2 linked regions of the Stegostoma tigrinum genome follow. The protein of the gene in region 1 interacts with the protein of each later gene in a biochemical or structural test. Links are inferred from orthologs where the notes say so. Each region holds a gene or a part of one and is shown in the gene's direction. Other genes may lie near its edges. The genes, in order: zinc fingers and homeoboxes protein 1-like and nuclear transcription factor Y subunit alpha-like.

Region 1 (15,456 bases):
CTCTTGCTGAAATTAAAATAAGACACAGGAGCAGAAATTAGGCCATTTGGTCCATTGAGACTGTCCAATCATGGCTGACAAGTTTCTCATCACCATTCTCCAACTTTTTCCCCGTAACCTTAGAACATAGATAGAACATAGAACATAGAACAGTACAGCACAGAACAGGCCCTTCAGCCCACAATGTTGTGCCGACCATTGATCCTCATGTATGCACCCTCAAATTTCTGTGACCATATACATGTCCAGCAGTCTCTTAAATGACCCCAATGACCTTGCTTCCACAACTGCTGCTGGCAACGCATTCCATGCTCTCACAACTCTCTGCGTAAAGAACCTGCCTCTGACATCCCCTCTATACTTTCCACCAACCAGCTTAAAACTATGACCCCTCGTGCTAGCCATTTCTGCCCTGGGAAATAGTCTCTGGCTATCAACTCTATCTATGCCTCTCATTATCTTGTATACCTCAATTAGGTCCCCTCTCCTCCTCCTTTTCTCCAATGAAAAGAGACCGAGCTCAGTCAACCTCTCTTCATAAGATAAGCCCTCCAGTCCAGGCAGCATCCTGGTAAACCTCCTCTGAACCCTCTCCAAAGCATCCACATCTTTCCTATAATAGGGCGCCCAGAACTGGACGCAGTATTCCAAGTGCGGTCTAACCAAAGTTTTATAGAGCTGCAACAAGATCTCACGACTCTTAAACTCAATCCCCCTGTTAATGAAAGCCAAAACACCATATGCTTTCTTAACAACCCTGTCCACTTGGGTGGCCATTTTAAGGGATCTATGTATCTGCACACCAAGATCCCTCTGTTCCTCCACGCTGCCAAGAATCCTATCCTTAATCCTGTACTCAGCTTTCAAATTCGACCTTCCAAAATGCATCACCTCGCATTTATCCAGGTTGAACTCCATCTGCCACCTCTCAGCCCATCTCTGCATCCTGTCAATGTCCCGCTGCAGCCTACAACAACCCTCTACACTGTCAACGACACCTCCGACCTTTGTGTCGTCTGCAAACTTGCTGACCCATCCTTCAATTCCCTCGTCCAAGTCATTAATAAAAATTACAAACAGTAGAGGCCCAAGGACAGAGCCCTGTGGAACTCCACTCACCACTGACTTCCAGGCAGAATATTTTCCTTCTACTACCACTCGCTGTCTTCTGTTGGCCAGCCAATTCTGTATCCAAGCAGCTAAGTTCCCCTGTATCCCATTCCTCCTGACCTTATGAATGAGCCTACCATGGGGAACCTTATCAAATGCCTTACTGAAGTCCATATACACCACATCCACAGCTCGACCCTCATCAACTTTTCTAGTCACATCCTCAAAAAACTCGATAAGGTTTGTAAGGCATGACCTACCCCTCACAAAGCCGTGTTGACTGTATTTGATCAAGCCATGCTCTTCCAGATGGTCATAAATCTTATCCCTCAGAATCCTTTCTAACACCTTGCAGACGACAGACGTGAGACTTACCGGTCTATAATTGCCGGGGATTTCCCTATTTCCTTTCTTGAAGAGAGGAATTACATTTGCCTCTCTCCAGTCCTCAGGTACGACTCCAGTGGAGAACGAGGATGCAAAGATCTTCGCAAGTGGCGAAGCAATTGCATTTCTCGCTTCCCAAAGCAGCCGAGGACAAATCTGATCCGGGCCTGGCGACTTGTCAATCTTAATGTTTGACAAAATTTTCAGCACATCAGCTTCGTCTATCTCTATCCATTCCAGCATGCACACCTGCTCTTCAAAGGTTTCTTTCACTACAAAGTTGGTTTCTTTCGTAAAGACAGAAGCAAAAAACTCATTTAGGGCTTCCCCTACCTCCTCAGGCTCCACACACAAGTTCCCTATGCTATCCCTGATCGGCCCTACTCTTTCTTTGACCATTCTCTTATTCCTCACGTAAGTGTAAAATGCCTTTGTGTTTTCCCGGATTCCTTCTGCCAAGCCTTTCTCGTGCCCCCTCCTGGCTCTCCTCAGACCATTTTTGAGCTCCTTCCTTGCCTGCATGTAATCCTCTCTAGCTGAACTTGACCCTAGCTTCCTCCACCTTATGTAAGCTACCTTCTTCCTTTTCACTAGAAGCTCCACCGCTCTCGTCATCCAAGGTTCCTTAATCTTACCCCTTCTTGCCTGTCTCAGAGGGACATATTTACTCATCACTCCCAACAACTGTTCCTTAAACCGTCTCCACATGTCTATAGTTCCCTTACCATGGAACAACTGCTCCCAGTCCATGCTTCCTAACTCATGTCTAATCGCATCATAGTTTCCTCTTCCCCAATTAAATATCCTCCCATTCTGCCTAATCCTCTCCTTCTCCATAGCTATGTAGAATGTGAGGCAGTTATGGTCACTATCACCAAAATGCTCTCCCACCACAAGATCTGATACCTGCCCCGGCTCGTTTCCGAGCACCAAGTCTAGAATGGCCTCTCCCCTCGTCGGCCTGTCAACGTACTGCGTTAGGAAACCCTCCTGAACACACCTTACAAAAACAGCTCCATTCAAATCTTCTGCTCGAAGGAGGTTCCAATCAATATTAGGAAAGTTAAAGTCACCCATTACAACAACCCTACTGCGTGCACACTTTTCCAAAATCTGTCAACCTATGCTTTCTTCAATCTCCCTGCTGCTATTGGGGGGCCTGTAGTAAACCCCTAACGAGGTGACTACTCCCTTGCTGTTCCTAATTTCCACCCATACTGACTCAGTAGGCAGATCTTCCTCGACAAAGGAAGCTTCTGTAGCTGTGATACCCTCTCTGATTAGTAGTGCTACACCCCCTCCTCTTTTTCCCCCCCTCCCTATTCTTTTTAAATGTTCTAAACCCTGGAACATCCAGCAACCATTCCTGCCCATGAGAAACCCATGTCTGTTATGGCCACAACATCATAGCACCAGGTACTGATTCATGCTCTAAGTTCATCACTTTTATTCCGGATACTCCTTGCATTAAAGCAAACACACTTTAACCGATCCCTTGGTTCCTTCCCAGGAAAATCCTTCCCACTAGCTGGTCTACCTCTTGCTACTGCCTCACCTGCATCAACGCTCACCTCTGGTATACAGCTCAGGTTCCCACCCCCCTGCCATACTAGTTTAAACCCTCTCGAACTACTCGAGCAAACCTTCCACCCAGGACATTGGTCCCCTTCCAGTTCAGATGCAACCCGTCCTTCTTGTACAGGTCCCACCTTCCCCAGAAGGCATCCCAATTATCAACATATCTGAAGCCCTCCCTCCTACACCAGCTGCGTAGCCACGTGTTCAGCTGCGCCCGCTCCCTGTTCCTCACCTCGCTATCTCGTGGCACTGGTATTAAACCAGAGAACACTACTCTGTTCGTCCTGCTCTGCAGCTTCCATCCTAACTCCCTGAAATCACTTTTTATATCCTCAAACCTATTTCTGGCTATATCGTTTGTGCCAATATGTAACACGATTTCTGGCTGTTCGCCCTCCCCTTTTAGAACTTTATACACCCGATCGGAGACGTCCCGGACCCTGGCACCAGGGAGGCAACATACCTTCCGGGAATCCCGATCTTGCCCACAAAATCTCCTGTCGATTCCCCTTACTATCGAGTCCCCTACCACGAGTACTTTTCTATTCTGCCCCCTTCCCTTCTTTGCCACAGTGTCAGGCAAAGTGCCAGAGAACTGACTACTATGGCTTTCCTCTGGTAGGTCATCCCCCCCAGCAGTATCCAAAACGGTATACTTATTGCTGAGGGGAATGCCCACAGGGGATCTCTGCACTGTCTGTCTGTCCCCTTTCCTCCCCCTAACTGTAACCCATCTATCCTCGTCCTGAGCCTTAGGAGTGACCAACTCCCGATAACTCCTCTCAATTACCCCCTCTGCCTCCCGAATGATCCGTAGTTCATCCAGCTCCAGCTCCATTTCCCTAACACGGTTTTCAAGGAGCTGTAGCTGGGTGCACTTCCCGCAGATGTAGCCAGCGGAGACGTGTGCCACATCTCCCAAATGCCACATTCTGCAGGAGGAGCAAGGTTCTTGGTTGTCAAGGGAATCAATCTGTCTTAAATATATTCCATGACCTGGCCTCCACACCTTCTGTAACATTGAATTGCATCGATTCACCACCTTCTGGCTTAAGAAATTTCTGCTCATCTCTGTTCAAAAGTGAGTACAAATTGGCCGACTGTGTTCATGCAGCTCCACACTTTGTCATCTCGGATTCTCCAGCATCTGCAGTTCCCATTATCTCTGTTCAAAAGGGTCTGTCTTTACTCTAAAACTGTGTCCTCGGGTCCTAGTATCTCCTGCTAATGGAAACGTCTTCCCAATGTCCACTGTGTCCAGGCCATTCAATATTCCGAAAGCTTTAATTAGGATCCCCTTCCCCATCCTTCTAAATTGCATGGGGTATAGACCCAGAGTCCTTAAATGTTCCTCACATGTTAAGCTTTTCATTCTTCAGATCATTCTCATGAACTTCCTCTGGACCCATTCCAGGGCCAGTACATTTTTCCAGAGATATGGGGCCCACAATTGCTCACAATATTCTAACTGTGGTTTGCCTACACCTTTCTAAAGCCTCCAGTATGTCCCTGCTTTTATATTTTAGTCCTCTTGAAATAAATGCTAACATTGCATTTGCTTTCCTAACTACCGACTCAACCTGCAACTTAACCTTAACAGAATGCTGGACTGAGACTCCCAAGTCCTATTGCACTTCAAATTTCTGAATTTTCTCCCCATTTCAAAAATTGGCTACGCCTCTATTTTTCTACCAAAGTGCATGACCTCTCACCTTTCCCACATTCAATTCCATAAGATTGATGGGCTTAAATGGCACCATACTCTCAAACATTCACTCTGCCACTGAACATCAGAAGCAGCAGTGTGCGCTATTGACAAATTCACGAACAATCCTGAGCTTCCAAGCCTATAACTATTTCCATCTGGAAAACAGGGCAGCAGATACATCTGAATACCAACACCTGCAAGTTTCCTTCCAATCCACTGAACATCCTGACTTGGAAAAATGCTGCCATTCCCTCACTGCTGAATCAAAATCCTGTGATTCCTTCCCTAATGCCTTTCTGGTTCTATCCACAGCACATGAATCACAACAGTTCAAGAAGACAATTCAACACCAAGGGCAACTAGGGATAGGCAATAAATCCTGGCCAGCAAGTGATGCCATGTCCCAGGAGTGAATAAATGAAAAACCTAAATAAAGAAGAAATACTTCATAAAGAGGAAACATTGTAGAACTATGGCTAAAGAATTTGAGTGGGATTAATCAATATCAATTGCAAAGACCAACAGAAGCACAAAATTCTAAATTGGCTTGCTTCTGTCGATGCCTCTGGCTGGTCCCCTAACTCTTGCCTTAACCTGCATTGCAATTCTCTGTCCTAACGATTTTCTTTCCTAGTGATATTTATCCTTCATCACACATAGCCACCAATGCCCTTCATTCACCTTCAGATGAATTTCTAGCATTCTTTACCCGAATTTCCATATTCATGTCAACCCGCTTATTAATATTTAATGTTAATAGCAATGATGACACATGCAAATGATGCAAGGAAGAAAAAAATCGGCAGTGCACTTCAGAAAAACTGGCCAAAAGAACTGAACAACCCCAAAGTCACACCACTGAAATGTCTTATTTTAACACAAGAACTGGTTCAGCTTTGTTTTGTTCTGAATTCTTGCCTTTACAGGCCATCAAAACGGTTAGACAAGACTGCTAGTCAATTTACCACCCTTTCAAACTATTTATATCCTGCTAACTGTTCATGTGGAGCAAAATTTGTCAGAATTGATCTGTTATATTTGGTGCAAGACATTGCTTAGCCTTTGCTATAGTGAGGGGTCAAGCTAACGTATTTACATTATCTGCTGTCTGTATGTGACTTCAGTAAAATGGGGTGAAAATGCTTATTTCCTGGCTGTTTTGCATACTAGTATGTCCATTGTTTTGTTGGGGCAAAATTTTTAGATGTCTATTGAATAACTTCAGAACAGTGAAACTAAAATGCTATAACAGATTTACAAATGGAAACAAATTGAAGGAAGCCTTGTGTGTCGCTACAGAAATATTTTCTCACTTCGCTCAGTGAAACACAGGCCTCATCGTATTACTTCATTCCAGAGCTTAGGATTTCCAGTTGCAGACTATTGGAAGTGTTTCAGTGCTTATTCATTGCATACTTAGAGAAAATAGGATGATGAATGTTATTTACTGAATCAGGAAAGATGTGAGATCTTAAAAAAAACTCCATTCAGATTTTCTCAACAAGATTGTTCTTGGATTTTGGTGCTCAACTACACAAGACACTTTTAGGTACATGGACTTAATTAGTTTTAGTCAGCATCGAGTGCAACCGAAATTGATACTTAAAGCCCAGTTTGTTTTATTTTTTAAAAAAAATTAAAAATTGAACTTTTTGAACAACTCTCTTAAAATATGCTCCTGAACAGTAAGTATTCCTCCCTTCAACTGGACCTTTCTTCGTCATTCTGAAAAAATGACATGACTACACTAAGTAGTAAATATCTCTTAATCATATCGTGTCCAACTTCGTGAAAGTTTTGTGGAGACACTTTAAAAGGGATGATCATTTAAGATAACTTCAACTATCCATTTACATAGGACTTCAGTAAAGGAGCAGAACATTTGGCCCTTTGAGCCTAATTATGGCTTATCCGGTTGTGGTCTCTTCACCACTGTATTTGTACTCCATTAACTCTTGACTCCCTTGTTTATTTAACTCAGCCTTGAATAAAATTAAGACACAGATTCCTCAACTTTTTTCTTCGACAACCCTCAAAATAATTCTCCTCAGTTTCTTCATTTTTAAATGATGTCCCTAGTGTGAGTGCCCCACTAGAAGAAATATCCTCTGGGTATCATCTGTCCCATCCACTCCCTTCAAGACTGTTTCTCATTCTTTTAAATCTCATAGTACAGGCCTAATCTGTTCAATACTTTCTTCAAGATGATGAGTCCTTTAGTTGAGTTAACTATTTTTCAAATAAGTGGACAACCTGTACTTCAGAAGTGGTGTTCATTTTCCTCCATTTGCCTTAATGATATTCTTAAAGACGGGGACAAAATCCAGTGCTTATCGTTGGCTTGCTCGGCAACTTACAAGAATGTTGTGCTGTGCACAAACAAAGCAAACCAAAGTCATGATTTTTATATACGTGTCAAGCATGGAAGGCAACTAAAGCAATGTGTCTTACTCCTTTATAAAACTGAATTCTACAGTTAAAGCTTTAAAATAAACCATTCAACAACCTTTTATCCGTGAAACCAATATAGCACTATATTGTTCAATTCTGCCAATAAAAGGGAGAATGAGACAATTTGAAAACAAATGATGAAAGGAAAACTTGGGCTTCAAGGGGTAGGGACAGTAAGTGGGACATGGTCTTTGAGATAAAAGGACCAGCCATGATCGTACTGAACGGCAGAGGTGGTGTACACCTGCTCTTAGTTTCTATATTGTACAGTGACAAAACGAAAACGTGGCACTTGAGCTGGTTCTTTAAAAGGACTACCTAAGTAAGTCTACCCTGCACTCCTGTCCTCCCGCCCCCATCGGTTTTTGCACATCGCACTGCAATGTTTTAGCTTTTATTCGCTTCCTTTCGAACGCGCCCCACCCCACCACTTCAGGTAGCCCATTCCATGCTAAGCTTAAACAAATTTCCTTTTCGACCTAATGGGTCCTTTGTCAAATTTCTGAAATTTGTCTTACAAACAAAAACGTGTTGGAGAAAAACAAACAAGTCTGACAACACTTGCGGAGAAAGAGAAACAGTTAAGGTCTCGAACAAAAACAGAAGTCACTCAAAAAGCTCAGTAGGTCTGGAAGCATTTGTGAAGAAAAATCAGAGTTCACGTTTCAAGTCCGGTGACCTTTCAGATGCTGCCAAACCTGCTGAGCTTTTCCAGCAACTTCTGTTTTTTTGATTCCTGATATGCAGCATTCTCAGTTCTCTGGGTTTTTAGTTAAGGATTTAGAGACCAGAATGACGCTATCTTTAATGTCACACTGGACTCGCCACCGATGCCGTCAATCCTACTGGACATCTCTAGCACGTTTCGTTTTTGTCAGATCTTCCAAATTCTACCCTATTTCACCTTTGTAAATTTGACAGCTGTACTCTGATAACCAATCTTCCTACCTCCTGAAACCAGTTCATCCTTATTCATTCTATTAAACTCCCGTTAAGGACCACTGCTGCTCTAAAGTCGAGAACAAAAGACAAAGAACTGCTGATCGCAACTCAACTTTGAGAAATGCTCGGCTGAACAGCCGCCGGTGGTCAAACCGGTGACGGCACTCCAGGAGATGGTGGTTCACGACATGTCCTCACAAGGAATTGCTACAATTCGATTATCGTTTAATTACAGTATCTCATTTTACTGTCCTCGGCTTCAGCGGGCACTTTGTTACAGCTATGGTTTACCTTCCCCTTCGTGTGGGGGGAGAAAAGGAATGTTTTACAGAGGAAAAGCGAACCATGCCGATAAAGCCAAGCACAATCCAATTTACGGCCTATTGGCAAAGTCGCGCTCCGATGATGTCAGGGCGTCTGCGTTGCCCTCTCTCCCGATATATTTATAAAAATTAATGTGTCGATTAATGAAAGAGGGATACCGATAAATCGGGAAGATCGGTAGGAGAACAATGCGTTTCGAACGGTTTCGGGGAGTCAGGTATGCCCCCTCATTACCGGGGGGCGGGCGGAGAGAGAAGAATTGGGCGCGACACATTGGGTTCAAAGGAAAGGCCGGTTGTAGCGGATGGGGAGGAGGTCGATGTTTGGTTCTTTCCGCACCAGCGGTACATGTCATCGGCAGATCCGCTGTCGGTTCGCCGCCCTGGCCGGCGGTCAGGCTTCGACTGTTTGAAGGTGGCAGAGCTCGAACTCATTGACAATCGGGGAGGGGTCAGCGAGGGGGCAACAACCGTCACCCCCGCGCGATTGTCAACTGCCACCCCCTCGCGGAACTCTCCTCCTCCGCCAGCAGCCCCCTCTTTCTCCGCCCCTCGCCAGTGAAACGGCCCGGCCACTGGGCAGCTGCCGGTAATAAGAAGAACAATAAGTTCGGGGATACAGGGTAGAGTGTACCACCTCCGACCTTACTTCTGACAGGCAGGTACTTCCCCCGCCTATGGCTGGAAGATGTTCTCCACATCTTGTCCTTTCTCGGTGCTGGCTGCTCAGATTGCACCCGGTCTCCCCGACCGTGTGGGTGCGCTCTGTTTACAGCCTTCCATCCTTCCATGTTGTTTACACTGAGGAGGTGGTGGATAGAGTTTAGTGTTTCCTATTCCAGAAAAAAAAACTTGAACATTGCAACGTGATCTGCTTGATTTTCCATCAAGGAGAGCTAAAGGAAGGAGGTAGGACTGTTTTGTTATTTTTTTTCAAAGAGCTGGAACTAACACAAGGGCCCGAGTAGTCTCCCTCTATAACCTTATTGTTATTTATGTTTACAAAATGCGCCCAGTTTGGAAATAACATATAACGCTCCTTCAATCTCTCTCTCTCCCTCCCCCCCCCTTTAACATGCCCTCCTTAACTAAGTTGCCCTCGCTGTCCTCCGCGCTTTGCGATTTTATTTCTCAGATAATGCTACTTTGAAGCATCCTAAGATAATTAACAAAAAAGAAGACAATATTAATGAGATATCAAGAACTGCAGATGCTGGAGTCAGAGATGACAAAGTGTGGAGCTGGAGGAACCTAGCAGGTCAGGCAGCATCAGAGGAGCAGGAAAGCTGACGTTTTGGGTCGGGACCCTTCTTCAGAAATGGAGCTTCAGATGAAGAGTCTTGACCCGAAATGTCAGCTTTCCTGTTCCTTTGATGCTACCTGGCCTGCTCGACTCCACACTTTGTTATCTATTGTGTTCTTATGCTAATCAAAGCCATTGAAGGGTCAGTGCTTTCTAGTAGGAAGATCCTAATGTCCTTGATAGCATTCCTCTGAAGCACCTTGGGACATTTTGCTGTGTTAAAGTGGCAAAATAAATGCAATCTCTTGAATATTGAGCACTTTTTTTGCACCTGGCTGTAGGCAAGTTATTGGGCTAATGAAAATTAGTAAAGCCCCTTTTTGCTTTAATTTGCTGAGGATTGGTTGAAGGTGTTTTGGTTTGGTTTGTGTTGTTCCTTTGCAAATTCCAGTGTATAATTTTGAAATGAAATTGCCCAAAGAGCTGTTCAATTCAGCAAAGCTGAAAGCCTTGTCACGATTTCTATGACTTCTCATTAGGCTAGAATGATTTCAGAACATAACAAACCAAACCTTCCAAAACCAAACTGCATGTTTAATTTTTGTTTTTAAGATTTATAATTTTTGTCTCTGAATTGAGTTTAATTGATCAAGTTAGAAAGTCAGAGCAGTGACATTAACTCACCATGTATGTCAGTTGAATGTTCATGAATATTTGACTACATTTTGTATGATCATTCAATTTCGTGATTTATTTTCAAACATGCAAATTCCAAGGATTCTTTAATTTAAAAAAATAATGTAGCAGACAGATTAGAATTCCAGATTTTTCTGATAAAGTATATACAGCCAATAAAAGAGCAAAACACAAGCAGAAATCAGATCTAGAGAAATTATTCGAGAATTTTTTAAATCCTAATCTAGACAGGATGAAGAAAGCACACATTATGTCCAAATGGTGAAGTAACAAAACAAATTTATGTCTAATTTCTTTGTTACTCTTCCTCCAGTTTTCTGTACTCTGTACTATATTTTTCCACCTGGTTTGTTCCTCACTCCTGAAGTGAGTACTTATCTCTTATCCAACAATTCTGTACAGATGCTTTCTTTGGCTGTTAGTTTGTCTTTTTCTCCCTTTTTTGTTGTTTATCTACAGAGTCAATTCATCCTATTGAATTTTGTGACTGATATTCCTCTGGAACTGGGGATGTGGGATGGTTAACTTACTATTAAGAAATTCAGTGCATTTAGCTGTAGCCGATGCAAGGAAAGCAGTATGGTTTGGGATTAGGCAAGCAGAAACTGTCGACTGGAACTGAGTAAAGAGAGAGAACGTAAGCATTAGTCAGAACATAACAAAGGACTGAAAGCAGCTGTGAAACTCAGGACTGGCAAGAATGGCCTCAAAGGAGAGAGCAAGCAGCACAACCATGACTTGGGAAAGAGCAGGAACAAAGGAAGAACTTTATTCTTATCATTTTTATTTCTGAAAATACCTTTCAATTTCATGATTTTCTTTTCAAAGCTGGATTGAAAGGTTTGGAAAATGAATGCAATTTACAAGAGAACCAAAGTAGTAATTCAGTCAGATCAGTGAAAATGGTGTCTTTCGTGAGGCTCCAAGAATCTTCCAATGGTTCAGAGACTTTAACGCCTTATCCTGTGATTCTTTATTTTTTCATTCATTTTTCTCTTTGCTAGAACTTGAAAGTGCAGTACATATTATTGAACTTCTGTTCTTGATTATTTGATTGGCTGTGGCAAGAGTTAATTTGAATATTGTAGTTATTGTGTTGGGTGTACTTTTCACTCAATGCTAGCTATGGTCCTGCAGTCCAAAGAAATTCTAGGTTTAAATTTATAGTCAAATGTTCACCTCTCATCCATTTTCCCTTGAACAAAAGTTTTTGATTTCTCTTGTGATCTGAACACAGCAGGCCAAGCAGCATCTTAGGAGCAGGAAAGCTCCTCTTGTGTTCATCCAGCTCCACACCTTGTTATCTCGGATTCTACAGCATCTGCAATTCCTATTATTATCCGGTCATGATAATCACCTGAACTCAAACTAATTATCTTCCCACTCTGAAGAGCGGGTTAAAAAATGATATTGTTGAAAGACATTGAAATTTTGGTGACTAAGTTTAACATCCATTTTAACTGCTTGCTCAGAATTGTTATATAAAGAAGTAATTATATGCGCAGCACCTAAACACTAGTACTTACAAGATGTGTTTAAATTCTTCGTATCTAGAGGGAAAATGAAAGCACCATATTGAACTTCTGAAGTGGTAAATTTGACAAAACTCAGCTTTCCAATTGATTTTCTTTTCTTGCTAGTGCATGTCCATTGGCACGTCATAATATTTGCAAGATTGAAATTGAGAGCCCAGCCTGAATAATTCCATACATAGTAGAAGCTGCAGACTCTGGAGAATCTAAGATAACAAGGTGTGGAGCTGGACAGACACAGGCCAAGCAGCATCAGAGGAGCAGGAAAGCTGATGTTTCAGGCCTAGACCCTTCCCGAAACGTCAACTTTCCTGCTCCTCTGCTCCTTGGCCTGCTGTGTTCATCCAGCTCCACACCTTGTTATCTATGAATAATTTCATGCTTACTTGTATGTTGTTATTTTGTGAACTGACTGTGTATTTGTCTGTGAGAGTAATCTCTGCAAGCTTGGTGTTGTGATTTTCAACAAGAAAATTATTGCCCTATACTTTCATACGTAAGTTAACTGAGTTTTCACTTTGGATCATAAATTGAATGAGTAGTGTGTTTTTTAGCTTTACCATGTTTCTCAAGGTCTAGGAAATATTTCAAAGGGAATTGTGGAATATAAAATTTATTCCACTATGCATGAAGAATTTAACAAGTTGTGAGTAATCTGTTTTTCTGACTTTGAGGTCTGTGACTCACTGGTATGTAGTGTTCTTCAGCAAAAATTAGTTGTTTGAGATTTTAAAGTTCCGTTGAGTTTCTGTGTTTCCACAAATTACAATAGTGTAAGTAAAAACTAACAGGTTTTAATTATATACCTACAAAGAAAGTGTTTTTGTACTTTTGGTGTCCTTCAGCAGTACATTACCACTGCTTTGAAAATCTCCTAAATTAATCCATTGAATTCCTAAATTAGTTTTTATCCCAAATGAACATTTTGTACAATTGAAAAAGCAGCTAGATGTAGTAATATCTGTGATATTAGTAAACATTTCTCATTAATTAACAGGATGTAGGTGTCACTGGTCAGGCCAGCATTTATTGTCCATCCCTAATTATCATTGAAGCAGTGTTGTTTAACCACACTCTTGACATCTGAATGGATTCCTCAGCTGTTTCACAGGGCACTTCAGAATTGACTACATTGTCGTGGGTCTGGAATCACATGTAGGGCAGTCAAGGTAAGGGATGGCAGATCTCCTTCTCTAGGATGCTGGTGAACCAGGCAAGCTTTTACAACAGTTTTGTGGTCACTATTATTGACACGAGCTTTTTGTTCCAGATTTAGTTAACTAATTAACAGCATTTAAATTCCCACAGAGCCATGATGCCTGTGGATCATGCGTTCACCCTATACACTAGTGGATTACTTCAGTGAACTAATATTCTATTTATTTGTTAAATTGTGAGGAATTGCATTCAGTTCACTTAAATTCAAATCTCAATTTTATGGGATATTCACTTGGGAAAGCCTGTTAAGATGGATAACACAGGGTTCCCATATGCACTTCTAATCCAAACTGGTGTAATGATATTCTGGCCAGTAGAAAATCTGGCCTGATATATATTTTACAAAATGTAATTACTATTTTATAATTGATATTAATTAGAGGTGATCCCATTGAAACATACACAATTCTGACAGGCTGCAGGGAGGAGGTTTCCCTGGCTAGAGGGTCCCAAGCAAGAACTCGAGGTCTCAGGATGTGGGTTGGGCTACATCAGAATGAGATAGAGAAATTTCTTCATTGAGTGTGATGAACCTGCGGAATTTTCTACCATAGGCTATAGAGTCCAATTCCCTGAGTGTGTTTAATGAAGAAATAAATAGATTTTTAAAAACTAAAGACATTGACAGAGATGGAGAGAGAGCAATATATGGCATTGAAATAGCAAATGAGCCATGATCATATCATATATGGTAGATCGGACTCAATGGGGTGAACAGGAAAACGAGTAGGCAGTTTTCCACTTTTTTGTGAAGTTTGATTACACACAGGCTTTTCTTTTATTGTGGATTAACAATACAGAAAATTTGACTTCTAACTGTATGTAGTCCGAATGTCAGATTCAGTTGAGGATAAAATTAAGTGAAGACCTGTTACACCAGAATCTCAGATTACACATTTGATTAGGTTTGCATCACGGTAAGTTTATTCCAGGTTAATCCTAAAAGTTTGATGCATTACTTTTAACCTCCCTTGAAACTCTTTTGAACCAACTTTTTTTTGGCAAGGATCATATTATCTGCCTTTTTTTAAATTTGGTGCAGTTGTTGACATGGATGTGTGCTTACACCATTGATCAATCATTCTTAGGGCAGTTGTCAGCTTATTTTCCAGCCTGCACTCCAATTTACGACACAATTGTGTTATTTCTCTAAACAGTGAGCTTTTCTCAAAGTAACAAGGAACTCCCATTTTCTGGAAACATTGTGGAAATAGGGACTTGTCTTCTCTGCACTCTTGGAGTTCTTGAAGCTTAGCCCAGTATTGCCAATGTCACATTCAGAAAGTCATACAAAGATTCAAGGCCTGTTCCAATGGCATGACCATGTAATTTGGATTAATACTTTGATACATTAGTAAGGCACAGATGCACAGTTGGATGTACGTCATTTCAGATAAAGTGTTTAAACCAAGACCCATCTGTACTCTTAACAAAAAAAATCCCTTGACATTATGACATTATCTAATTAAAAGCTGGATGTTATTTAGAAAGTGTGCAGATTTATGAGAATGATTTTGGGGGTGAATGATTTTAATAAGTGGATAGATTTGAAGAAGCTGGGCATTCGTATTAGAAAAGAGAAGTTTGACACAAGTTTTTATAGAGATGTACAAAATTATCAGTTCAAATAGACTTGATTGCGAGAACCTTTTCTGACTGGGAGAATGGTCAACAACGAGAGGGGACAAATTTAAAACAATTGTGAAAAGGACCAAATGCAAAATTGGAACAAACATTTTTGCACAGCAAGTGGTTAACATCTGGAATGCAAATTTTTATGCTGATGAAGGCCAGTTGAGCTATGGCAATCAAAGGGGAATTGGATAAGCTTTTAAAGGGAAACACTTGCAGGATTAAGGAAAAGGTGACAAGCTAAGTTGCTCTTGCATAGGCCAGCATGGGCTATGTTGGCTTTATGACTTCTTACTATGATCTAATTATTGTGACCTTATTCCCATAGCTGGCCTGGTCACTATTTATTCCTCAACCAACATTGTAAAAGAAGGATATTGTGCTTACTATTTTAAATGTTGAAAAGGATTTGATTGGGTAGGTATGCAGAAACTGTTCTGTAATAGTAGAACCAAGTAAAAGATGGAGTATCTTTATTAGATTTAATCAGCCTTGCAGTGATCGGATAATACACTTTTAAAAAAAAATCAGGAGCAGAAAACCCATATCATTTATGATCTTCCCCAGCCACATAGCTTCAGTTTCTTTACTCTTACGTCAAATCTCAGACCTCAAATGCTTGGGATCGGTCATGTG
Region 2 (15,059 bases), on another chromosome or scaffold:
CCTTAAATTCCCTCTAAACTTCCTGCCTTTCACTTTAAAATTATGCCCCCTTGTTACTGATATTTCATCTGAACAAATCTTTCTGCCAAATCAATTGTGGCTGGGTGATAAGAGGTAATCAGATATGTTAAATCCTGTCGTAGACAGTCCATGAACTCTTGGAGACCATTTTCACTAAGTTATTTTAGATATGCAAACTTCACAAAGAGCTCCCTCAAATCTTTCAAGGTTTTCTCTAAATATAACAATCACCAGGTTGATTCAGGGGATGGTAGGTCTGCCATGAGGAGAGATTGACTAGGTTGGGATTGTTTTCGCTTGCTTCAGATAAATGGGGGTGGGGTGGGGTGGGGATCCCATTGGAGCTTCTAAAGTTCTAACAGGACTGGACAGGGAGGATGTTCCCGATGGTCGGTGTGTCCAGAACGAGGGTCACAGTATGAGGATTCAGGGTAGATGATTTAGGACTGAGATGAGGAGACATTTCTTTACCCATAGAGTGGTGAGCCTGTGGAATTCATTACCACAGGAAGTAGTTGATGCCAAAACATTGAATGTATTCAAGAGGCAGCCAGAAATAGTACTTGGGTGAATAGGACCAACGGTTATGGGGAGAAAGCAGGTTTAGTCTGTTGAATTCGATGATCAGCCATGATTTTGAATAGCGGAGCAGGCCCGAAGAGCCAAATGTCCTCCTCTTACACGTTTTCTTCCACGTTTCTAAGGCAACTTCAGATCATTTAATGTGTGTGTCAATCATTATGAAAAACATTCACCCTTCAAAAGATTCAGCGAAGTGAACATGGATACTTTGGTATGGCCTTTCTGGCCCTTCCTATAGATGTAATGGCACTAAGGGAGGTAGTCCGAACTCTGATGCAAGGTGCAGGTATTCCCACTCTCTTCTCAATTTCAGAGTCAGCTCCTGGCCACCAAATATAGGGTCTGGCTTCAATCTGAAAATGCCACTGTACCTGTTGTTGTTTGATTTAACACATGCTTCCTCAGCTGTGATGAAATTAATGACCCTCATTCTCCATAGGAGGTGTTCTGTTCAACGGATAGTTCTAACTTCCACGTGATAGGAAGTAAACTATGTATGATCTTGCTGTAAAATACATGTCCACTTTAGATTGGAGTGGATCATTTCTAACATACATTTTAACTTGTCCTGCTGTTACCATAATATTCTTTACTTGTGCAAAGCAGAAAATGTCTACATAGGGACTGTTTGTAATCAACTGATTTGGCAAACGTAATCTATCAGCATTCCCATACAAGTTGGATTGAAACTATGTAAGTGTATAAGTGTGGGTGACAGCAACAATGCCCATATCTTCTCTAGCAGCAAGCCATAAGCAGATATCTCTACACGAGGCCTGAACATTGTGGTCTGTAGTCTGTACACAGTTGGTAAGGTAAAGTCCCAGCATACAGGTATCGGTGGAATTGTCTATTGGGGGCAGTAATGGTTCCTCGAGCTTTCTGACTGGTTTATCATTCAGTACGGGAGTGATCCAACACTGGTTGGCATAACTAGCAACAATTAGGATATTTACTAGTAGCTCTTTGGACTGCAAGTCTGGGCTTTTCTCAAGCCCTTTCCTACTCATTGGTTTCTGTACTTTCATGTACATTATTTACCTTTCTTCCTCTATATGCCCTTTTTACCACAGTTTTTACATACAGCTCTTACATATACACCAGCAACTTACTGCTGCGTGACCTATTTTTCACATCTGCATTGATGCGTATCTCTCAGTTGCCATGTTACAAACTCTCATGCGCATGCCTAATCTTCAAGCTTCCTTGGCTGCTATTTACATTGAGACTACTATTTTTCAGTGCTCTAAGTCTAGACTCCTTTCTGTCAGTAATCTCTTCTGGATTGCTTCACATCTCAAACCATACATCAGGCAGTCTCCAGTAACATCATTAAAGTTGTCTCCAAATTCATAAAACCCTAATAGCTTCTTTAAAAGTTTCTATGAATTGGTAGATAGATTCGCCATCACGCTGGCTGCATTTCTGTAATTATTAATTGATTTGGTGAAACATGGCTCAGTACAATTTTTTTCAAAAGTTTTGGAACCTGGCTTCTCTGGTTTTACCTGACTCCTCAAGAAGGTTAAACAATGCTTTGGACACTGGGGTAATTATGCCCACTTCAATACTGTTAGCTTGAAAAAAAATAATTTTTGGAACCTCCGAGTAGGTATTCCTGCCCTCAAAAGTGTCATCATATGGTCCCAAGGCACCAAAATGTCCAGCATTTTTTTTAAAATTGGAAACAAGATGATAGCACAAAATACTCTCATTGTTTTAAGCACTACCTCACTTTTTCCATTTAAAATAAGGTATTCCTGAGGCTGCCTATTCCTTTCCAACTCTATACCCCTAGCTCGAAACATTTCCCTCCATATAATGGGATACTTATTAATCAGTGTTCCTTCAGGGTACAGCTTCTTTGGCACTATTCATCTCTTCCCTGGGGTAATTTTCTTTTGTCTCAAAGGCTCTACCTGATTTAGTGCAGCAATGGCACATGTTGATTCTATTTTTTTTAATTGAAGCACCTCATACCACAATTAAATTTCTTTTCAATGAATCTGTGGATTGGCCCAGCAAGTGTCGAGGTATTTTTTATCCTCCATTGCCAGTATTCTTCCAATGTTAAATTCCAAGGAGAACTGGGAGGTTGAAGCATTAAAGAGCAGCAGCTTTATTATGGTGGTATTTACAGTAAGGTTTAGTCAGAACTGTTTTCATGCCCGAAACCATTGATGACATTATCATTATAATCACATGATCAGTGTCTTAAAGCGACAGTCCACCATACTTACACAAATACACACCAATTGTAACTTTGAGACCTTGCCCAATGGAATTGCAACAGCAGGTATGAGGAATGGGTGCACAGGATATGGAACATATTAGGATGTGAACAGCAGAAATTTAGATGAGCGACAGGTCACGAAGACCGGAAAGTGGATGTTTGACCAGGAGTTGGGTCATCAAGTCTAAAGCCAACAAGTGAAGCAGGAGGATAGGAGCCTTGAAATGACATTGGATGATTTATGCATCATTTACCTTGCCGCTGGGGCTGTTGCCATCTCACACAGGATGCTGAGAAAGCTGCTGTGATTGCTGTTGCATACACGAATCCAATATTCATCTACACCTAGTTGCAATTTTGAATTTCTAACAGAAAGACAATGTGCTGCAACACTGGGCACTGATAGCTATGTTAAGCGTCCTCACTCTGAATTCGTCAGTTCTGAGGAAGGGTCACTCAACCAAAAACATTAATTCTATTGCGCTACACAGATGGTGCCAGACGTGCTGAGCTTTTCCAGCAATTTCTGTTTCAGCCTATCTCTGCATAGCTGAATCACTTCAGCCCAGGCAACACCCTGGTGAATCTCCCCTGCGTCGTCTAATGCAATCATATTTTTCCAATAGCGTGGTAACCAGAACTGCACACAGTAGTCCAAATGTTTCTCACTAACATTATATGTAGTTCTCTGCCCTGTAAAATCTCAATGACTTCTTGCAAATTGTCCTGATAAAAGCAAGAAGAAAAACACATTTTGTCAAAGCCTTTTCCAAAAATATGCATATTATTTATTCCAAGGATCAGTACTCTAAGATCTCGCCATGTTTAATGCCTTTCAGCCACTGTACACTAAAGGGTTGGAAACGGTGTCAAAATCCAGGCTACATGCCTGACAAAAAAATGCACATTGCGACCATCAAGAGTAATGAAATGTTGAGACATCAGAATGGCACATGCTGTATGGACAAAAATTAATTCTATTATATTTTCTGTAAGTTCCAATTGAAGTTTTTTGCCCGTAGGCTACATGCCTGAAATGAAACAGATATTGTCAATATCAACAGTATTACAATTGTATTGGGGCACTAAGAGTGGAACATGTTGAACGGAAACAAGCAAAACTTTGTTACACATTCTGTAATTGTTAGTTTTTTTTGCAATATTCTTGAATGAATAAAGTGTTTTCAATTATTTACAATCTAAATCAATAATCAAGATGAAGGTGATATATTTGACCGTAACATTTTCAAATTTACTAATGATGCAAAGTTAGGTGTAAAATTAAAAATAAGGAAGATGTAAAAATGCTGCAGTGATAAAGACCTCCACACCATCCATTACCAATGCATAACAGTAGCAGTGCATTCTATCAAGATTTACAGCAACAACTCATTAAAGTTCCCATGACAGCACCTTCCAAACCAGTAGTCTTTAACACCAGAAAAGGAAGGACAGCAGATGCATGGGAATGTCATAACCTACAAGTCTTCTTACAGTTACATACGATCCTGACTCGGAAACACTGTCACTCCTCCACTGTTGCTGGGTCAAAATTGTGGAAGTCCCTTCTTTACAGCACTGTGAATTATTCAATACCAGATGGCCTCAGCGGTTCAAAACAAAACAGTAGCTTCTGAAGGGCAATTAAAGAAGGACAACAAAGTCTTACCTTACCAATGATGCTCACACCCATGAAATTTAAAAAAAAATTCGTGACAGAGAATTATATATCTTTGAATACTAAGAGATATGAGCGATATGTGGATGTTGCAGGATGTAGCAATTGGGGAAAAAGACCAGCCAGGACTTTAATGATGGAGCAAAGGGCCAAAGGTTTCCTGTAGGTTTCTAAGTGCTATTTAGGGGTGTGATTTTGTGGAACATCTACTGCCACTCACCCTTTCCTCATGTTAACCATAATTATACATCAGTTGTGAAGTGTAGTGAATGGTTCTCAGGAATTGGCAGGTCACATGGACATACAAACAAGGAACAAGAGTAGGCCACTCGGCCCTTAAAACCAGTTCTGCCTTTCAATAAGATTGGGACTGATCTGATTTGAACCACAACTCCTCATTCCTGCATATCCCCCATAATCTTTCATTCTCTTGGTAATCAAGAAACTATGCACCTCCCACCTAAAAAATATTTAAAGATTCTGCATCTACTGCCTTTAGAGAAACAGAATTATAAAGAAAAATGTTTTAATCTTTTCCTTAAATGGGTGATCTTTTTTAAAATTATGATCCATATTCTCCTGCAAGAGGAAATATCTTTTCAACACCCACCTGGTCAAGTTCCATCAGGATCTTACGTTTCCAATGTATCACAGACTCTTCTAAAAACTTTAAAGAACACACGTTTTGCTTGTCTCGCCTTTCCTCGGAAGGCAATCCACTCATTCCAGGTATTAAGATAATAAAATTAAGCTAATAAAGCTAATAAACCTTCCCTGAATTGCTTCCAATATGTTAACATTCTTGCATGCACATGGTGACCTGTGCTGTACAATAATCCAAATGATGCAGTCTCACCAATGCTCTCTATAGCTGAAGTATGACCTCTGTACTCTCGCATTCAATTCCCCTAAAAATTAAGCCAAGATGTTCTAATCAATTTTCCTGATTACTTGTTGCATGTGTATACTGACATTCTGCAATCCACCCAGATCACACTGCAGCCTCTCACTATTTAGATAGTCTATTTTGGCAGGGGGAAAAAAAAACTATTTCATACCTCTCCACATTGTACACAATCGGTCAGATTTTTGCTAGTTCACAACTGGTTCATATCCCTTCTGTCCTCTTCACAGCTCACATTCTGGATTTATTTTTGGGTAATCAGCAAATTTAGCTACCATTCCTTCAGTGCCTTCATCCAAGCCATTTTTAAAACTTTTAAAATGTTAAGGCCCCAGCATTAGAGATAATAGGAACTGCAGATGCTGGAGAATCAGAGATTACAAGGCGCAGGGCTGGATGAACACAGCAGGCCAAGCAGTATCTTAGGAGCAGGAAAGCTGACATTTAGGCCCTTCATCTAGGCCCGAAACATCAGCTTTCCTGCTCGGCCTGCTGTGTTCATCCAGCCCTACACCTTGTTATCTAAGGCCCCAGCATTGTCTTCCATGGCACACCATCGATATCCTGCCAGTCTGGAAAAGACCCATTTATTCTTTCCTGCTAGCCAGCAAATCCTCTATTCAAGACAATATGTTACAGTCTTCATCATGAGCTTTTATTTTCCATTATCATATGGTTCTGGAAATTTAACACATCCACTGGTTACTTTTTATCTTGCTTCTTCAGAGAACTCCAAAAAATTAGTTAAACATGATTTCCCTTCGACATATTTAATTATAGCTTCTGTAAGTTTATTTATGGCAGATGTTAAGCTAATTAGTATATAATTTCCTCTTTTCTACCTGTCTCCCTTTTCGAATAATAGAGTTACATTTGCTGCTATTTGGAAAATTAAAACCAATGCTTAAACATTCTGACTAGCTGTACAAGTTAAAAGCAAAATATTTAAGGATGCTGGAAATCTGAAAAGAACACAGAGAATGCTGGAGAAACTTAGGTCTGGTGGCATCTGTGGTGAGAGGAAGAAGTTAATATTTCAGTTCAGCACCTCAAAACCAGCTTCACTTTTTAAGAATCAAAAGCAGAGTACTGGATAAACTTAGGTCGTCAGGCAATAGAGATGAAAACAGAGATAACATTTTGAGTCCAGTGACTGTCCAAGTTCATTCTGAAGAAAAGCAGAATCCTAACAGTGCAGATAGAGGCCATTGAGCCCATCAAGGCTATACTGACAGTGCGAACAGCATCCTGCCCAGACCCATTCCACCCCCCCATCCCTGCATTTTAACATGTGAATACAACTAGCCTGTACATCCCCAGGTACTGTGGGCAATTTAGCATGGCCATTCCACCCAACCCGCTTATCTTTGGAGTGTGGAGAAAACCCACACAGACAAGGAAAGAACATACAACTCTGCACAGTCAGACCAAATCTGGAATTGAACCTTGGCACTGTGAGACAGCAGTGCTAAATCACTATGCCACCCTTAAATGCAACTATGGGATGTGAACCCACATCATGTAAGTATTAGTTCAAAGCCCCTGCATTTCTAACCCAGGCACATCATCAACATACCAACACCACTCAGAATCACTGGACTAAAGAAGGGTTGCTAGGCTCAAAACATTACCTGTTTTTTCCTGCACAAGTACTGCTTGACCTGCTGAGTTTCTCTAGCAACTTCCTCCTTTGTGTAACATTTCTGGTAGTGCTGTTATTTATTTTACTTCACGCCTTTTAAGAACCTAGGGTGAAGCTGGGGATGGTAATAGACTAGTGGTATTATCACTGGGCTGTTAATCTAGAGACCTAAGTAACATTCTGGGGGTTAAAATAGTATCAGAGATAATGGGAACTGCAGATGCTGGAGAATTCCAAGATAATAAAATGTGAGGCTGGATGAACACAGCAGGCCAAGCAGCATCTCAGGAGCACAAAAGCTGACGTTTCGGGCATAGACCCTTCATCAGAGAGGTGGGGTCTAGGCCCGAAATGTCAGCTTTTGTGCTCCTGAGATGCTGCTTGGCCTTCTGTGTTCATCCAGCCTCACATTTTATTATCTTAACCATTCTGGGGGCCTTGTTCAAATCCCACCATGGCAGATGATGGAATCAGATGACTATAAATCCATTGCCAGTCGTTGGAAACAACTCATCTGGCTCACTAATATCCTTTATGGAAGGAAACTGCCATCCTTACCTGGTCAGGTCTACATGTGACCCAACAACAATGTGGTGGACTCTTAACTGCCCTATGGGCAATAAATGTTACCTGCTAAGTGACACCATCATCCTATGAATGAACGAAGAACAAAAAAAAATGGATCTGGGGACTTGTCAACTCACAGTTAAAACAATTAAATTATGTACCATTTCCCTGTTCATGGTAACTCTTGCAAGTTCCTCCCTCAGGTTAAATTCCTGGTTCACAGTTATTTCCAGGACCTTGAGCAACTTAGGGGAGGCAATAGTCCAGTGGTATTATCTCTAGAGTACTAATCATGAGATCCAGGTAGTGCTCAGGGGACCTTGCATTGAATCCCCTAACAACAGTCAGTGAAGTTTGAATTCAATTTTTTTTAAAAAAATCCAGAATCACAAGTCTAAAGATGAGCACAAAACCGTTGCCACTCACTGGGGAAAAAAAAATTACCAGGCTCAGTAACGTTCTTTTAGGGAAGGAAACCGCCAACCTCACTTGGCCTGGCATACATATGACTCCAGGCCCTCAGGTTGACTCTTTACAACTCGCTACACAATTAAGCCTAATCAGCAATACCCTCAGCCCGAATACTAGTTTAGCCTACATGTGAACCCAGACCTACAGCAACGTAGGTGACTCTGAAACTGCTCCCTCAGCAACTGGGAGAGGGCAATAAATGGTGGCCTTGCCAGGGACATCAACAAATCTCCAAAACCTATTATTCAACAGATGGGGCTTATCACAAGGCACTTTCTTGTGACTTACCGTCTTGCCTATTCCTCAACTCAAAGGATGCCTGCTGGTAACTCTTACTCACAGAAGCAAACAACACAACTTCACAGAAAGAAACGACAGCAGCTAAACTGGAAGCCCAACGGAGACGCGAAAGAAAAAGAATCCATTACCAAGATGGCGGCAGCACTGCACAGGAGTCACGTGCCCTGCGGGCGCCGGGGTCCTTGTAAACCAGCAGCACCACGTGAGTCATACCTTTTTTTTTCCTTTGCAGCTGCGCAGTGTGATCCACCCGCCCCCTAACCCGCTGGAGGAGGAAGCCAATGCCGCGCAGGTGCAGTGGCGTGGCCTCCCCGGAGACTCAGTGCCCCCCCCCCCAAAACAAGACGACCGGCCGGAGAGCGCATGCGCAACAAGCGGTTTCGCGAAGGAGAAGGCCGCTCGCAGTTGGTCGCCATCTTGTGCTGCTGTGTTCCTATTCGCCGCCGGGGCATTGTGTTTAATACCGGAGCCAATCAGAGGGGCAAAAGCGCGGGGTAAGTCCGGCAAATTGCTGCCAACAGGCTGCGAGCTGGAGTTGGACAGGAAAATGGGAGTGAGAAGAGGCAGTGATACGGCGTGGGGGTAGTTACTTATGACACCCCCCCCCCCTTTTTCATTCCCCTTCCATTTCGGCATCGGGATTGGATAGATCGAAAAGCGAATACATTCAAGAGTGGGGGGAAAAAAAATCACCGAGCGGGAAAGGGTTTTGGCGGGAAGCAAGCGCAGATTTTTTTTAAAAAAATTTCATTCCCGTCCTTTCTCTTTTTTTTTGTTCTGCCGCTGCTGTCTTTCTTTGCTTACCCCCATTCACCCTTTTCGGTCCGCTTTGCCGTTCACTCTTCTCGGCCCGCGTTCCCCACCCTCTCCTCCCCCCATCTCCCCTGTACAGGGGGTAAAATGGCGGCTGCGTGGGGTCGGGGTAAGGAAATGTCTGTTTCCGCCGCCCCGATCGCTCATGGGCCGTCAGTCGACGGTTGTTGCTTCAGGATGGGGGTCGATGTCGATTCCTCCTGACGTGATTAACGATTTCTTTTTAAATCGGTGTTAGTGTACGCACGGTATTCGCGCTCTGAAATGGCGGGTGAGACTGTCCGGTCTGGCAGTGCAGCCCGTCTTGTTCTCAATCTCTCACTTCGCAGGCTGTCTCTGCGCTACTGACTGGATACACCCTGGGTATTGATCCAGGTGGAAGGAGGTGCTGTTCCACCTTCAATTTCTTCACCACCCCTTGCTCCAGACTGTCCTTTCAAATCACTTGGTCATCTGTATCCTGCTCTGATACCTTTACTGTATGTGAGGAGCGCTGTGGGAATGCAAACTGTAACGCCTCGCAAATACAGAGTTATCATCAAAGATGCTACATTTCTTTGTGAAATGTCGGGAGGACTAATGACGAACATAGAGAAACTTTCAAATCTCCTGTTAACGGGGAAACTTGTATGCATGCATGCTGGTATGTTGGTGTGATCTTTCTAAGACCGATCTACTAGTCGCTATTAGACAAAATTTGTTAGAAATTTCTAACTTAAACTCCTGAAGGAAGTTGTCAGTTGTATAAACGTATTTTCATCTGTGAAAGTTGTTTGTCTGACATGCTGCACTTAAATTATGATGTTGTTGGTTTGTAAGTTTTGGGTGGGCAGGTGTCTGGCTCCAATCGTGATTAGTTTAGGTACCAACAATCTGGCGTTTAAATTTTAATTCCCAGTCTTTGTCCAGTAGTTTGCTTTAAGAGATTTGTTTTGCCCTTTAAAATTTTTGAGCTGACTGTTGTATTAAACTTTTTTTAAAAATATCATACATTTGGTATTTCCAAATCTATTTTGAAAGCTTTCACCTGGTTCTGAATCTGAAGATAAAGTTGGGAATTGATATGAATTTTAACTGTTAATGATAGCCACTTGAGAGTTATAATTAGGGTGTTAAATTTTCTACCTCTCTGAATAAGATGTTAAAATAAATTGATCTATTATAGGTTTATTAAACCTGGAAAATTTGAAGTTATGGATTGACCATTTCATGTTTAGGCATCTTTGTAGAATGCACTTCAAATTGTGCAGTAGTTGTTGGTAATAGAAACAATTGTTTAAGATGATGGAAAAGTATTGAAATAACCTTTTAAAAAGATTTTTACCTGTAGTATGTCAAGGCTTCCAATTAGGATTAACAGGATTGGATTGTCTGCTGGTTTGAAGGATGTTATTGCTTTAAGGTGATTCAGTAACAAAAATTGAACACTTGTATTCAGCGCAGTGATGACTTTGAAAAGTGGGTTTCATGTGAGTGTAGAAATTTGAAGCTGTCTTATTTGCCACACCCACTTTCATTGATGCTAAAAATGTATTGATCTCAAGCTTGATATGGATTCCCTCTATATTCAAATTGCATTTTTTAAAAAAAATCTAAAGTGCTTAAAACAAAAAGACTCTGGAAGCAATTGGAGCCTATGCTTTTCCAGCTCAATATATCATGGAATGCCTAAAATTTTAATTAATTTTTTTAGTTGGTTTAATGTCTGCATCCACACGCATTTGATAACTACTTACAAGAAAAGTAACAAACGAATTTCTGATATACATTATTTTTCAAGATTATCGTCGTCGTAGTACGACCACTACCATTGTAGTATCCCTGCATTGTGGAAACAGGCCCTTGGGCATAAAAAGTCGAGACAGCGCATCGGAGCATCACGCCCAGACTCATTCCCTATAATGCAACTAATCTACACATTCTGTACCCTACGAGCAATTTATCATAACCGATCAACCTAGTCTGCACATCTTTGGACTGCGGGAGGAAACCAGAGGACGCCCACACAGACACGGGGAGACTGTGCAAACTCCATGCAGTCGCCCGAGAGTGGAATTGAACCTGGGTCCCTGGTGCTGTGAGGCAGCAGTGCTAACCACTGAGCAAGATGTGAACATCTTTGAGAAGACCACTATTTAACTTTTGAACCCTAGTTGTCCTTGAAGCTGTTGAGTCATCTTTGAATGTATAGTATGTTTTAATGAAGGTTTCCACAATACAATGAGAAGGAGCTCTAGCAACAGTGAAGGAATGGTGATGTATCCAAGTGAGAATGGTGTATTTCTTGGTCCTGGTTTCCTTTGTGTCTGTTGTTCTTCGATGGCTGGGGTTCTGTGTGTGAAATGTGCTAATGAGGAAACTTTGGTGACTTGCCATGAGATAGTAGGAACTGCCAGTGCTGTAGTCCAAGATAACAAGGTGTGGAGCTGGATGAACACAGCAGGCCAGACAGCATCAGAGGAGCAGGAATGCTGATGTTTCAAGTCTAGACCCTTCAAAACATCAGCTTTTCTGCTCGTTCGTTATAATGTCATGACAGCAGCATTTAATATGTCTGTGGAATGGACTGCTTATCCTTGATAGTGTCAACTATACCCAAACAAGCAAATGCTTTGTATTGGAGAAGCTCAGCAGGTCTAGCAGCATTTGTGGTGAAAGAAGCATTTGACTATAAACATGGTTTCTGAAGTTCACGTGCAGCGTGTACATAAAAGGTTGAATTGAAACATTGACAAGGCTGCACAAAACCCCAGGATCTTAAGAGTGAAGAAGATACAACTAAGCACGATCACTAGAGACAACTGGCTGGGTTTCTTTAAACAAATGTGTGTTATGTTGTTTATCTTTATTTCAAAAGCACTTTGCACAAAAAAATCACAAATACATTGAAAGATTCTATATTGTCTGTTTGGCCTTTGGAAAAGTGGGGGTGTGGGGGGAGAAACACAATGGAATTTGACATTTCTCAACTACTCTACAGTTGCCAAAAATGTGGGAAAAGCCTCTTTTTTTTATACAAGAAGCTTTTCATGTTGAGCTAGTGAGTAGATCTGCAAACTGAATGGACCCTTGTTATTACTGTGGTGGAAAAACTGACTGTGGTCTTTCCCTATTGCACCTTGGCTGCTGTTCAGAGCTTCACTGCATCCCTTGCACATTGTCATATAGCACAGAAGTAGACCCTTTGGTCAAAGTTAGTTGCATTGACCAGACATCCAATCTGACCTATTCCCTTTTGTTCTTTGGCCAGCATTTGGCCCATATCCCTCTAAATGTCATTATTGTACCTGCCTCCAGCACTTATACTTCCCCCTGGCAGCTCGTTCCATATAACGTCACCCTCTGTGAAAACGTTACCCCTCACGTGCTTTTTTAAATCTTGCCCCTTCTCTCCTTAAACCTATGCCCTCTGGTTTAGGAATAGCCTACCCTCAGAAAAGACTTTGTCTATTCACCCTATCCATGCTCCTCATGATCTTAATTCTCTATAAGCCATCCCTCAGTCTTCACTCTGGGGGAGGGGGGGGTGGAAAAACCCAGCCTATTCCGACAGCTCAAGCCATCTAGTCCCTATTAACCTAGAATATTCATGTGCGCAAATTTTTATCTTGTCTGCGACATGTACCTGTTTGAAAGTGGGTTCTCTGCCACCAGCCAGTAAACACACTTCCTGGTGAACTTTATCCAAAAATAAACAAAACTGCAACTTTTAAGAAAATAATGTCTGGTTACATATAGGACACATTATTTTTGTCCAACTGTTAATAAAATCAGGAGGTTTAAGGTCAGGAGTAGGCATTTTACCTACAGCTGGTGTTACACTAATGGGCCTCTATTTCCGTTTTCTCTCACTGTCTCTTTTAGATAGTGGTGTTATATTTGACACTTTGCAATATGCAGGGACCACTCCAGAGTAGATACAATTTTGAAAGATGACCACAAACTTTCCACCATCTTTCCAGGCACTTCTTTCGACATTCTGGGAGATACATCCTGCTGTCTAATTGAGTTTACATACTTTTAAGTCTCATTAATTTCTCTGGTACTGTTTCTTTTCTTTAAACTAATTAGTATCTTGCAGTTCTTTGTGTACACCAGTCCCTAGACTCTTATTTATGGAAGGTTTTTGGAGAAGACATATGCAGTATTTGTTTATTTTCCATCATTCCTATTTTTTCCATTTAGAGATTTTCCCAGGTTGGCTTTAAGAAAACCACATTTCTTTTTGCTGTTCTTTCCAGTTTTACATACCTGTGGAAGCTTTTAATCTGTTTTTATATATTGTACTTTACTCTAATTATGTTTTCTATTTCTTATCTTTTTCTTGGTCCTCCTTGGAAGCATTTTAGAATTCTGCAATTTTCCAGGCTTTCTTAGCAAATTTATAGGCCTCTTCCTTTGCCTGTTGATTCAATGCAATTCTTGATTTATTAGCCATAGTTGGATGCCTTCCTTGCTGCGTGTTAGTCCTTTTAAGGAATGTATTTTTGTCATATACTGTGTACCAGTTATTTAAATCCTTTTCAGTTTCAGTTTACAATCATGCCGTTAATGTAATTTCACAGTCCACTATTGCTAGTTTGACCTCCAAAGCTTCATACATCCTGTTGTTTAGATTTAAACCACTTGATTAAATGAACTTGAAAATGATGTGCTCTAAGATGCTATTGTATTATAGTTAACAAGGTGTGGAGCTGGATGAAGAAGGGACCAGACCCAAAATGTCAGCTTGCCTGCTCTGTTCATCTAGCTCCACACCTTATTATCTCAGACTCCAATATTGATAGTGCTGTTTTATAATGGTTCCCTTACACCAGAAATTCTAATTAGCCTCTCTTATGTTTTGTTTTTGTTGAGCAGTACTTGGTCTAATGTTTCTTTATTTATTCATGGGATGAGGGTGTCGCTGCCTAGGCCAACATTTATTGCCCAAAAGGCATTTAAGGGCAACTGCATTTCTGTGGCTCTGGCGTCACATGTAGGCCAGACCAGGTAAAGACACCAGTTGCTTTCCCTAAAGGCCATTAGTGAACTAGAGGGGGATTTCCAACAATTGACAACGGATTCACAGTCCTCATTAGATTCTTAATTCCAGGTATTTATTGAATTCAGATTCCACTAACTGACATTGCGGTCGAACCTGAGCCCACAGAACATTACCTGGGTCTCTGGATTAACAGTCCAGTGATAATGCCAATAGACCGTTGCCTTCCCTAATGTTGCTATTTTCCAGTTGGATTTTCAAGATAGTGCTCAAGAAGGCTACCTTGCATGCATTCCAGAAACTTGTCCTCCGCAAGATGAATAATTGGCTTTTATCTATGCCTGGTCAAACTTAACTGCTCTGTTGCGTAAAGTGTTGTGCATTCCAAGTATTAGGTATACGTCATTGGCGGTCCTTCTGAATAAGAATCAAAAACAAAGTTTCTGGAAAAGCTCAGCAGGTCTGGTAGCATCTGTGGAGGAGAAAACAGAGTTAACATTTCGGGTCTGGTGACCCTTCCTCAGAATGTCGGGTACGCCGAACCCGAAACGCTAACTCTGTTTTCTCCTCCACAGATGCTGCCAGACCTGCTGAACTATTGGAGCAATTTTGTTTTTGTTCCTGATTTACAGCATCCGCAGCTCTTTTGGTTTTTATTCTGAATCATAATGTTGTCGGAGTGCTCACTGTTGCCTCAGTTGAAATGTTAAAATATAGCTGCGTCTGCCTTCTTGAGTGAATGTGAAAATCCATTTGTGCCAGATGAAGTAGGACAGGGATGTTTCCATGTTTTTGCTGAACAGCGTGTATCCGTCTGTAACATCTGTAACGGCATCCTCTGTGCAACTTGGCTGCCACATTCCT

Evidence for each region.
Region 2: the proteins of zinc fingers and homeoboxes protein 1-like (region 1) and nuclear transcription factor Y subunit alpha-like form a complex in vitro, tested with the Homo sapiens proteins (2 studies listed by BioGRID). The link is inferred for Stegostoma tigrinum from reciprocal best matches to the Homo sapiens genes ZHX1 and NFYA.

Annotation. Positions count from the first base shown.
Region 1 is NC_081358.1:39,332,796-39,348,251, reverse strand, and holds the start of zinc fingers and homeoboxes protein 1-like, read left to right. Parts: upstream 1-8,323; 5' UTR 8,324-8,717; intron 8,718-8,754; exon of another isoform or gene 8,755-9,408; intron 9,409-15,456. UniProt on the Homo sapiens protein: Acts as a transcriptional repressor. Increases DNMT3B-mediated repressive transcriptional activity when DNMT3B is tethered to DNA. May link molecule between DNMT3B and other co-repressor proteins.
Region 2 is NC_081374.1:9,810,687-9,825,745, forward strand, and holds the start of nuclear transcription factor Y subunit alpha-like, read left to right. Parts: upstream 1-8,760; 5' UTR 8,761-8,892; intron 8,893-8,917; exon of another isoform or gene 8,918-9,854; intron 9,855-15,059. UniProt on the Homo sapiens protein: Component of the sequence-specific heterotrimeric transcription factor (NF-Y) which specifically recognizes a 5'-CCAAT-3' box motif found in the promoters of its target genes.